Linked DNA regions of Sus scrofa. The protein of the gene in region 3 interacts with the protein of the main gene of each other region in a biochemical or structural test. Links are inferred from orthologs where the notes say so. Each region holds a gene or a part of one and is shown on either strand. Other genes may lie near its edges.

What was found.
Region 1: the proteins of PPP1CA (region 3) and PPP1R15A are reported together in a solved structure, tested with the Homo sapiens proteins (2 studies listed by BioGRID and IntAct, with this or other methods). The link is inferred for Sus scrofa from reciprocal best matches to the Homo sapiens genes PPP1CA and PPP1R15A.
Region 2: the proteins of PPP1CA (region 3) and PPP1R10 form a complex in vitro, tested with the Homo sapiens proteins (2 studies listed by BioGRID). The link is inferred for Sus scrofa from reciprocal best matches to the Homo sapiens genes PPP1CA and PPP1R10.

Annotation. Positions count from the first base shown.
Region 1 is NC_010448.4:54,170,442-54,174,185, reverse strand, and holds the start of PPP1R15A (protein phosphatase 1 regulatory subunit 15A), read right to left. Parts: upstream 2,149-3,744; 5' UTR 1,912-2,148; intron 1,200-1,911; 5' UTR 1,191-1,199; coding exon 1-1,190. UniProt on the Homo sapiens protein: Recruits the serine/threonine-protein phosphatase PPP1CA to prevents excessive phosphorylation of the translation initiation factor eIF-2A/EIF2S1, thereby reversing the shut-off of protein synthesis initiated by stress-inducible kinases and facilitating recovery of cells from stress.
Region 2 is NC_010449.5:23,152,582-23,155,884, reverse strand, and holds part of PPP1R10 (serine/threonine-protein phosphatase 1 regulatory subunit 10), read left to right. Parts: intron 1-563; coding exon 564-641; intron 642-780; coding exon 781-954; intron 955-1,167; coding exon 1,168-1,273; intron 1,274-1,372; coding exon 1,373-1,485; intron 1,486-2,522; coding exon 2,523-2,623; intron 2,624-2,880; coding exon 2,881-3,028; intron 3,029-3,104; coding exon 3,105-3,263; intron 3,264-3,303.
Region 3 is NC_010444.4:5,118,995-5,122,738, reverse strand, and holds the start of PPP1CA (serine/threonine-protein phosphatase PP1-alpha catalytic subunit), read right to left. Parts: upstream 2,538-3,744; 5' UTR 2,503-2,537; coding exon 2,448-2,502; intron 1,952-2,447; coding exon 1,820-1,951; intron 1,689-1,819; coding exon 1,458-1,688; intron 860-1,457; coding exon 755-859; intron 364-754; coding exon 140-363; intron 58-139; coding exon 1-57. UniProt on the Homo sapiens protein: Protein phosphatase that associates with over 200 regulatory proteins to form highly specific holoenzymes which dephosphorylate hundreds of biological targets.

The DNA.
Region 1 (3,744 bases), on a different chromosome or scaffold from region 3:
GCATCACTATCCCTGTCCTCCTCCTCCTCCTCTGTGTCCTCACCGGGTCGATACACCCAGGCTCTGAAGAAGGCACTTGGGTGCGGGCTGGAAGAGGGACCCTCAGCTTCTCTTTCCTCCTCAGCTTCTCCTTCCTCCTCAGCTGCTCCCTCGTCACTGTCCCCGTCTTCCTCCTCCTCCGTGTCCTCTCCGGGTCTGTACACCCAGGCCCTCAGGAAGGCATTTGTGAGTAGGTTGGAAGAAGGGCCCTCGGCTGCCCCCAGATCCCTGTCCTCATCCTTCTCTTCATCTTCCTCCTCTGAGATCTCCCTGGACTGATGCTGCCGGGTCCCGAGCAGGGGGCTCTGGGCTAGAATTGCGGAGTGGGGCTCTGGGCCAGCCTCTCGTTTCTCCACCTTTCTGTCCTCCTCCTCCTCAGGCTCCTCCCCTGAACAACACTCCCAGGCCCCGGGGTGGGAACCGAGGGATGAGGGGCAGGTGGAGGGCTTCGTGGCTGCTTTGTTCTCTGTTCTTTCTTCCTCTGTGGCTCCTTCCACTGCGCAGCACACCCAGGAGCGGGGCTGGGGTCCTGGAGCTGAGGGGGAGGTAGATGTTCTAGGAGCTTCTTTATTTACAGCTTCTCCAGCCTCCTCCTCCTCCTCCACTGCCACACCTGGACAACCCTCCCAGTGTGACAGAGGAAAAGCGAAGGTGATTATGTCTTTATCTTCAGTAACTGCTTCTTCCTGAGATTCTTCCTCCCCAGGAACGTCCTGCTGGGCTCTCATCAGAAGGCTGGGGGACAGGGGAGCAGGAAGGCCATCCATAAATTCACTTCCGGGCTCTCTAGGGACGCGGGTTGCTGCTTCCCCACCACGCTCATCATCTGAAAGTCCCCAGGTTTCCAAAAGCAAACACTTGGCTTCCAGGTCAGGGTAGCTCCCCCAGGATGCTTCTTCATCCTCCTCAGTTGCTCTCCTCTCTCCAGGCTCTTCTTGTGGCTGGGTGGCCAGAGAAGCCTTTGTGTCTCCCTCCAGGCCAGGTTCTCCCGCGTCTGCCCTGGTTACTGCCTCCACTAGCCAGGGCTCTGGAGGGCCTGGGCCCCTCAGGTGGCTCCAGGCCCGGCTGAGAAGGCCCATCAGCGGGGACAGGAGAAAGGAGTGGGTAGCCCTCCAGGGGGCAGGCTGGTGGGGCACTTGGCCTGGGGCCATCTTTGTCTGCTGGGGAAAAGGGAGAAAAAAAAGGAAACGAGTTTAGAAGCCATGGAGGGAATAGCATCAGAGAGTGACCTTGAGTCATAGCAACACAAATAGTAACACGAATAGTAACACAAACAGCAACCAGAGAGGCCCCGCCCCACATTCCTTTCTCATCCCAGCCACACCCATCTCTGTCCCTAGTTTCCCAGCCTCTCTCAACACCCAAGAGTCTGGATCATCACTCATTCCTTCCTTAGCCCAAAGGGCTCCCAGCCCCATTTCCTCTCTGACCCATTAAATTCTAGTCCCAGGAAGCAAGAACACAGGTCCTCTGCTTGCTTCCTCTGGGGACAAAGTCCTTGTCCCTTGCCTCTCTCATCCTCCTGAGGATTGAAAAATTAGGCGCCCACCATTCTCCTCCTTCCAAGACATAAAACTTCCGATCCCTAGATGGTGCCTTCTGGCTCCCAGACTCTTCCTCTGTCCGGCTCAGGACTCTAAGCTCCCAATTCCTTCTCCTGCCTAAGTCCGAGCCCTCGGGTCCGGCCTCGTCCCACCTCTCCAGAAAAAGGAGTTCAGGTTCCCAGGAGTCCTTAGGGCACAGGAGTCCGAGCTCCGAACACCCCTATCTCGGAACTCAGAAGTTCGAGCTCCCTCCTCGTTATTGACCAGGATTCTAGTCCTCCGCCCCCAAACCCCTAGGAACCTAGATGTTCCGACCCCCTCAACTCACCAGCTCGGGATTGCGCGTCACCCTGGGGGCAGGAGCGTCGGCTGGGGCTGCCACAAGCGATCGCAGTTCCGGACAGCTCGGGAGTCCAGAGCGTTCATTTCGCCCTCCGGCGTCGGGCTCGGGGACTCAAATTGTCACCGGCTGCTGCAAGCGTTGTCACGACGAATGGGCGCAAGGTCACACGGAGAAACAAATACAAACACACCGGCTAGCCACTTAGGACGTAAGGGTTGACGCGGTCCTCAGCGCTTTTATACACAAACGCAGCCGGACGTGGTGACGTCAGGAGAGGAGGCGGGGTTTCGAATCGTAATCGTGATGGACGAAACGGAAAACAAGGTTGGACTTCTCGCGGAGATTCCGGACTTTATGACGTCACGGCGGTATTTCTGAGCGTGGCCACGCCCTGAAGCAGGCGAGCTGCCAATCAAACTCATGAACTGGTTAGGTTTTGAGCGCGCGAGCTCAACCTCTGTTCCAGGCAAACGCCGTTACTCCCCGCCCCCAATTTAGCCAGCCGGCCCCAGGCTAGAGTCTTCCACCCTCCAGTCCAGTCGGCTTCCTATCCGGTGTGGGAAGGTATCATTATTTCCATTTCACAGATGGGGAAACTGAGTCTTGGGCATGAAATCACTTGCCCAAGGGTGGGCACAGCGGAGTCTATATTCATTGCAAAAGAGAAAGAGAATGTGTAAGGCCCCTGAAGGCAGGCGCTTTTCTTTGCTCACTGCCTGCGTGACACATAGTAGGTGCTCAACAAATACGCGGTGAGAAATACTGGACCAAAACCTCAGATCCCGTGCCTATCTCAGGCACAAGGCGCCACTCCTAGGCTCCACCTACTTCAAATTTATACAGAACCTCCGCTTACACAAATTGAAATTCTAGCTGGGTATCACCAACATCAAGGGAGTGGGGGGGCGGTCTTTTGCCCCAAATTCCAGGCCTAAGGACATGGTTTCAGTCCCTGGCACCCCACCACCAACCTGGTCTGCAATCCTGTACCTCAAAATACGCCCAGGACCCAGGCCTCCCTCCTGAGAGGGCATCATCCTCAGTCTAGACCGGAGTTCTCACCTGGATCTGAGGTGGAGATTGCCACTGGCCACTTGACCCTGCTCTTGCCAGAACCCAGCAATCTGGGGGCCGCCCTCTCTTCTCTGGAGGACTTGGACCCATCCACTGCAAGCCACACCTCCAGACCCCAGCTCCATTCTCAAGTCCTGACTCCTGGCTCACATTTTGTCAGGTACCCAGTAGTCTGAGCCCCTACCCCTCCCTTCCATTCCCAAGGCGCCAATCACCCAGGCTTCCGATCACAACCTGCCCCCTCAGGTCCTGGAGTCCAGGCCCAGCTCCTCTTCTCCAAACATGTAGGAATCCCAGCTTCAGCCTTGATGGGACCCGGTCCAGCAGGGACCTAAGAGCGTGTGGGTGGATGGGTGGGGTGGAGGTGGGAGGGTGGCCCCCAGCCCCCAGCCCCCAGCCCCCAGCCCCTCCCTTCAGCTGTGGGGGCAGCTGAGCCAGAGGTCAGGCTGTGGTGGGGAGGCCAAGAGGGGCGGGGTCAGCGGGGATTGGGAGCCGGGACAGCAGCGTGGGCGGCTGGCAGGGGGAAGGAAAGACCAGCAGAGGGGAAAGAGAAACTGGGAGAGCAGAGGAAGAGAGACAGTGAGAAGGAGCGTCCGGGAGAGAAGGAAACAGCAGACGTGGAGGGCCAGAGAGAGAGAGGGCGAGAGGGAGGGAACAGAAGGGAGACTTAAAGAGATTGTGAGCCCAGGAGAGGATTTGGACAGAAACAGAAAGACTGGGACAGAAAGTGATATAGGGGGTGGG
Region 2 (3,303 bases), on a different chromosome or scaffold from region 3:
ACGCGGGATCCGAGCCGCGTCTGCAACCTACACCACAGCTCACGGCAACGCCAGATCGTTAACCCACTGAGCAAGGGCAGGGACCGAACCTGCATCCTCATGGATACGAGTCAGATTTGTTTCCAGTGAGCCACGAGAGGAACTCCTGACAAGGTTTTTACATAAAGAAGAACTCTTCCTCAACAGCAAAGAATGCAAGTTCCTGTCATGGCTCAGTGGTAACGAACCTAATTAGCATCCACGAGAATGTGAGTTGGATCCCTGGCCTTGCTCAGTGGGTTAAGGATCCAGCTTGCTGTGAGCTGTGGTGTAGGTCGCAGACTCGGCTTGGATCACGTGTTCCTGTGGCTGTGGTGTAGACTGACCGCTGCAGCTCTGATTCGACCCCTACGCCTGGGAACCCCCATGTACTGTGGATGCAGCCCTAAAAAGCAAAAAACAAACTCTGGGTTCCTTTTCCCATTACACAGATTTTTATGTATATTTCAAACATGTCTGTTTTCAGTTACTGGAAGAATAATATCTTACATTATTTTGGCATTGGCCTTTTCTCTCACCCACAGAGCTCCGGAAATTGGCCTCGGTCCTTGTCAGTGACTGGATGGCTGTCATCCGCTCCCAGAGCAGCACCCAGCCTGCTGGTAAGCTCCTGGGTCCTTTATCCCTGGTATTTCTTGCCCCTGGGACATGGCCTTCGTGCCTCTAGCCTGCTTTACCTCCGACTGACTGTCTCTCTCCTCTCTAAGTGAAATCCTTTTCTTCTCTGTCTTTCCACAACAGAGAAAGATAAGAAGAAACGCAAAGAAGAGGGAAAGAGTCGAACCACCCCTCCTGAGCGACCGTTGACTGAGGTGAAGGCAGAGACCCGGGCCGAGGAGGCCCCGGAGAAGAAGAGGGAGAAGCCTAAGTCTCTCCGCACCACGGCGCCCAGTCACGCCAAGTTCCGTTCCACCGGTAAGGCTGCTGGCAGGCCTCTGCGGGGACGTGCACGACCGAGGCTTGCAGTGGAGGAGTTGGACTTAATGGTACAGTGACCCAGTCTGTAGACGAGGGAGGACAGTGGGTGAATCGTCATGGGGTTTATAAGGCGAGACGAAGGTGAAGGGAGGAAGAGTCAGGAGTGGGTGGAGTGAGTCCAGCCCCAGCAGCACATCTTTCCTCCCCCAGGCCTGGAGCTGGAGACCCCGTCTTTGGTGCCCGTGAAGAAGAATGCCAGTGCAGTGGTGGTTTCTGACAAGTACAACCTTAAACCCATCCCGCTCAAGCGTCAGAGGTGCGGACCGTGTTGTGGGTTTTCGAATGGCCGGGTCTGTGCATGTCGGGAGGAGAGAAGGGGTGAGTCAGCTGCAGTTGACGGTTCTTTTTCTCACAGCTCCATAGCTGCCCTGGGTGATGCTGCCCCCCCTGCAGAGAAGAAGTACAAGCCACTCAACACGACCCCCAATGCCACCAAAGAGATCAAAGTGAAGATCATCCCACCACAGCGTGAGTCAAAAACGGGGGGCTGTGCTGGGAAATGGGAGCAAGCTCTGTGGAAAGGAGACACTTTCCTCCAGTTTTCACTTGAGTTTTTGGTGTCCTTTAATGTTTGCAACTCTGGAATTCCCTTTATAGCAGCGCTTCATAGGGTTACTTAGGAGTTATTTTATTTAGGAGTTATTTATTTTTTGGCCCCACCTACAGCATTCGGAAGTTCCCCCAGCCAGGGATCGAACCTGTGCCGCAGTAGTGGCTTGGGTCACTGCTTGGGTGCCCCAAGCCACTGTTGTGAACACACTGGATTAGGAGTAATTTTAGAGATAAGGTAGGCAGGCAGGGCTGGTTGGGGCACTCCCAGCTGGCAAGGTAATCTGTCATGTTCCTGGCGACTGGCCTTGTCAGTTACCTGAGCTCTGATTCATATCCAAGGCCACAACTTGCCTGCCTTAAATAAAAGATAGGGAGTTCCCGCTGTGGTGCAGCAGGATCGGCAGCATTTTGGGAGTACTGGGACATAGGTTTGATCCTCAGCCCGGCACAGTGGGTTAAGGAGCCGGTGTGGCTACAGCTGCATCTTAGGTCACAACTACGGCGTGGATCTGATCCCTGGACTGGGAACTCCGTATACTGTGGGGCAGCCAAAAAAGAAAAAAATAAAAAAGATAGGAGTTACTCCTGTGGCCCAGTGGGTTAAGAATCCAACTGCAGTGGCTTGGGTCGATCCTCAGCCCAGTGCAGTGGATTAAAGGATCCGGCATTGCCATAGCTGCTTCTCAGGTTGCAGCTGCAGCTTGGATTCAGTCCCTGGAACTTCCGTATGCTAAGGGTGTGACCACAAATTTAAAAAAAAAAAAAAAAAAAAAGCGTAATGGCGAGAATTTGTGGTGTGAAACCTACATATGCTTTCTGGTCACCTGGAGCCTGTTGTGTCCAAATAAGCACAGGGCAGGGTCTCTGTTGGCCGGTTTTCTGTTCAGACTTTGTGGGAATTAGGATAATGGAGAAGGTCTGCTGATTCCATCTTATGCCTTTTTGTTTTGCAGCTATGGAGGGCCTGGGCTTTCTAGATGCGCTCAATTCAGCCCCTGTTCCAGGCATCAAAATTAAGAAGAAGAAGAAGGTGCTGTCACCCACAGCGGCCAAGGTATGGGCGCTAGGCAGTAGGTGCCAGTGCCCGGGTAGAAGAGGTCCAGGGGAAGGGAGGGCGCGGCAGCTGGGCACGTGGGGAGGACAGAGCAGCTGTGTCTCAGGTGTAGGCTGGTGGGGGCAGACAAGAGACAGAGCTGTCCTTCAGGGGACCTGCTTGGTGGGAATCCTGCCTGGGACCGTGGACTAACTGCCTGGCCTTGACCTTCCTTGGCTTTCCTGTCCGCTCATTCACTTCTTTTTCTTTCACAATAGCCAAGCCCATTTGAAGGGAAAACAAGCACAGAACCAAGCACAGCCAAACCTTCTTCCCCAGAGCCAGCACCTCCTTCGGAGGCTATGGACACAGACCGTCCCGGGACCCCAGTTCCCCCTGTCGAAGTCCCGGAGCTCATGGATACGGGTAAGTCTAGACACTGGCTCAGGTTGGGGGGTTTTCTAGAAGGAAGGATCCGGTCTGAAACCACTCCTGCTTGCAGCCTCTTTGGAGCCAGGAGCTCTGGATGCAAAGCCAGTGGAGAGTCCCGGAGATCCCAGCCAGCTGACACGGAAAGGCAGGAAGAGGAAAACTGTGACGTGGCCTGAGGAGGGCAAACTGAGAGAGTATTTCTATTTTGAGCTGGATGAGACTGAACGAGGTTAGAGATCAAGTAGGCAGGGTGGCAGGTGGGCTGTAGG
Region 3 (3,744 bases):
TGAGAAGAGTGTCACCAGCTGCCTCTTGGCAAAGAACTCGTAGCCATCTTCTACCACCTGGGTGAGGGTGGGGGCAGTTAGTTCAGCAGGTGCCGGCTGCCCCGCCCCAGCCCAGCCCAGCCCAGCGCCGCCAGCCCACCTGGTGTGCCCGGCAGATGAGATCCAAGTCGTGCTTGTGCAGGAACTTGGCCACCACCTCCGCTCCAAAGGTAAAGGAGACGCCGCGGTCATTCTCGCCCCAGCCCTGCACGTCCTTGTCGGGGTCAGACCACAGCAGGTCACACAGTAAGCCCTGGTCAGGCACGTCTGTGGGCCGCATGATACGCCGAATCTGCTCCATGGACTGCAGGTCGGGGGACAGGCCTGGGGAGCACAGGAGGTAGATCACTTCCTTGAGCCTCAAAACGAGGCCCCTGCCTCCTCCGGGAAGCCTTGCCGATCAGCCTCTGTCCCCACCCCTCCGTGGTCTCCTGGGAGCCATGACAGGCAGACCTCGCCACCTTCTGCCTCTCGTAGCCCCTGTTTCTTCAAGGAGCACAGGGCTCCTTGGAGAAAGGAGACAAACTCCACGTGTGAAGCTGTGGCCACGACCTGACAGCACAGCCTGACATGAGGGTGCGGGGGGACTTCATGGAAGAAACGACTCGGGGGAGAACTGTTGCAGCTGATGCCTTTGTCCCCAAGCCCCCCGGGATGGGGCCAGGCTCGTCCCTCCCAAGCACTCCTCCAGCGCGGGCCCCAGAGCTGCTCTCACCTCCGTGGCAGCAAAAGATCTTCTCGTCCACAATGGCAGCGATAGGCAGGCAGTTGAAGCAGTCAGTGAAGGTTTTCCACAGCTTGATGTTGTAGCGTCTCTTGCCTGCCCAGAGGAAGGAGGTGGCTCGTGAGAAGGCCTGGCTGCCCCACCTTCAGCCGGGGTCCCTGGGCCTTGCAGGGCACATCATGTGCTGTTCAGACACAGCTGGGAGGGAAGCAGAGAGGGCAAGGAAGGGAAACCCATCCCACTGCCTACCAGCTTTCCAGGAACCCCAGCATTCCAGTTCTGGAACAACCTCAGGGTTGGCACCCACCTGCAGCACATGAGCAGGGCCAGGCCAAGACCAGGTCTGTTTATCTCTGCTTCTGGCAAACAGAGTCCAGTCCAGACAGGCAGCCTAAGTGCTTAAGTAACGGATGCGCTGGAGGGGAGTGTCACTGGGCAAGGCCCTTATTAGAATACGGGCAGCCCTGCAGCCAGCACCCATTCACCAGATCCCTCCTGAGTGCCAGGACCCATGCCAGGAGGGCAGGTGGAGAGACCTGAACTGGCCTGGCCCGGCCCTGCCTTCACGGAGCTCAGTCTAGCAGGTATTTGTCAGACACTGATACCCCAGCTGCCAGGCCAACTCGAGGGTCCCTCTGAATGGCCAGGAGAGCCCTTTAGGACCCGGGCAGCCCCAGACACCCATGGCACTTACACTCATCGTAGAAGCCATAGATGCGGTTGATGCTGGCACACTCGTGGTTCCCACGGAGCAGGAAGAAGTTCTCCGGGTACTTGATCTTATAGGCCAGCAGCAGGCAGATGGTCTCCAAAGACTGCTTGCCCCGGTCCACGTAGTCCCCCAGGAACAGGTAGTTGCTCTCTGGAGGGAAGCCGCCGTACTCGAACAGCCGCAGAAGGTCATAGTACTGGCCGTGGATGTCACCTGGGACCCAGGGAACCAGGTCAGGTCTAGGTTCAGTCTAAACCTGAACCCAGGGATAAGGCTGGGATCCAGGGACTTTAGAGGGGCCAAAACCACTTCCAGGAAGCAAAGGGGCTGGGCAGGGGGCTCACCGCAGATCTTGAGGGGTGCCTCCAGCTCCAGAAGGATGGGCTGGCTCAGGAAAATCTCCCGGGATTTGAGGCACAGACCACGGATCTCGTTCTCTGTCAGCTGTACATTCTTTCCAGGCCGCGAGCCCTGCACTGAGGGTGGAAGGAGCGTCAGGACCCTGGTCCCTGAGACTAGGAGAGGGTGGGTGACACACAGGCCCTCATGAGCACTTCTGGGGCGCCTGGGCCCCTCCTTGCCCAGAGGCAGCTGTTGCTGCTGAGCCTCCTGGGACCGGACCCCAACTACCCTCAAGGCACTTGGGAGGGGACTGCTGTGCGCAGGGGCCCTACCACCCAAAGCCTGATAGCGCAGGACCCCTTCCCGGGTGGCTAGGCTTCTCGGGTTTCTCCCTCACCCCAAGAGCCCAGGCCGACCCATGCGCCCCGGCCCTGTTCCAGCGCGGGGAACAACCCCAGACCTCCAGGCGCGCCGCGATTTGGCGGGGAGAGCCACGGCCACGGGACCTCGCGGCCCGTCCCCGCCCAGTCTAAGCTGGCCCTGGGAGGGGCAGGTCCACCCGCGCGCCACTTCCGGGCCGGGAAGGGGGCCAGGGCGCGGCGGGCGCCCACCTCCCCCGCCCCGGCCAACCTTCCAGCAGGCGCCCGATGATAGAGTCCAGGTTGAGCTTCTCGCTGTCGGACATGGCGGCGCCGCCGCTCTGGCCCAGCAGCTCCGGGCCCGCTCCTGCCTCCCACCCTCCCGCTGCCTCCTTCCGGCCTGGCTCTCCTTCCGCCCGGCCCGGCCCGGCCCGCCCCGGCCCGCCGCCCCGCCTCCTCGGCCGCCCGCTCCGCCCCTCGTCGCCCCGCCCCGCCCCGCCCCGTCCGCTGCCCCAGCGCTCTAGCGCCTCCGCCGGACGCCGGGCGCAGAGGCCCAAGCGGCCCGGGGGGCGGGGCCTCAGTCACGGGGCGGGACTCGGACGGAACGCCCATCTCTGGGGCGGAGCCTCTTGGTGGGCGGGGCTTCGAGGGGCGAGGTCGAGTCTAGTTCTGCCTATGAGAAGTTGGCCACCCCTTTCCAGAGAATATGGGACAGGAAGTGCTGTGGAAGTTGTTTTTCTCTTTTAAGGGCTACGCAGTCCTTCTCACCTCCGCCCTGGGCGGGAAGTTGGTGTGAGCTCATCGGTAACTCATTGGGTCTCCCCAAATACTGCCGATCAAGTCCTTGAAGTGCACAGAGATAGCAAAGGGTTGGTCCAAGACCTGGACCTAATTCAAGGGCCTCTACCTCCGGAGTCTCTGTGGCCCCCAGGTGACTGACCAGACCTAGAAACCTGTCACTAAACTCCAAGCCCATTTTGGTCCACAGTGCCTGTGATGCAAGCTGAATTAGCGGTTAATTTTTTTTTTCTTTCTCAGCTGCACGTGGAAGTTCCTGGGCCAGGGACTGAATCCAGGCTGGAGCTGCGACCTATGCCACAGATGCAGCAATGCTGAACCAGCGCCTCTACAGAGACAAGCCATACCACTAATCCGCTGCACCACAGAAAGAACTCCTATCTATGTATTTATTTATTTATTGTCTTTTTGTCCTTTTTAGGACCACACCCACGGCATATGGAGGTTCCCAGGCCAGGAGTCCAATCAGAGCTACAGCTGCCAGCCTACACCACAGCCATAGCAACACCAGATCCTTAACCCACTGAGCGAGGCCAGGGATCAAACCTGAAACTCCATGGTTCCTAGTCCGATTCGTTTCCACTGTACCACGATGGGGAACTCCCTGTTTTTTTTTTTTTTTTTTTATGTTTTATCATTGCCTTTTGAGTAGCATAATTAAGCTACATTGTGCGCATGTGAAAAATGTTATTTCGTGAAGAGCAAACATTCAATAAACCGTAATTCTCAGAGTTCCCATTGTGGCGCAGCGGAAATGAATCCAACTAGGA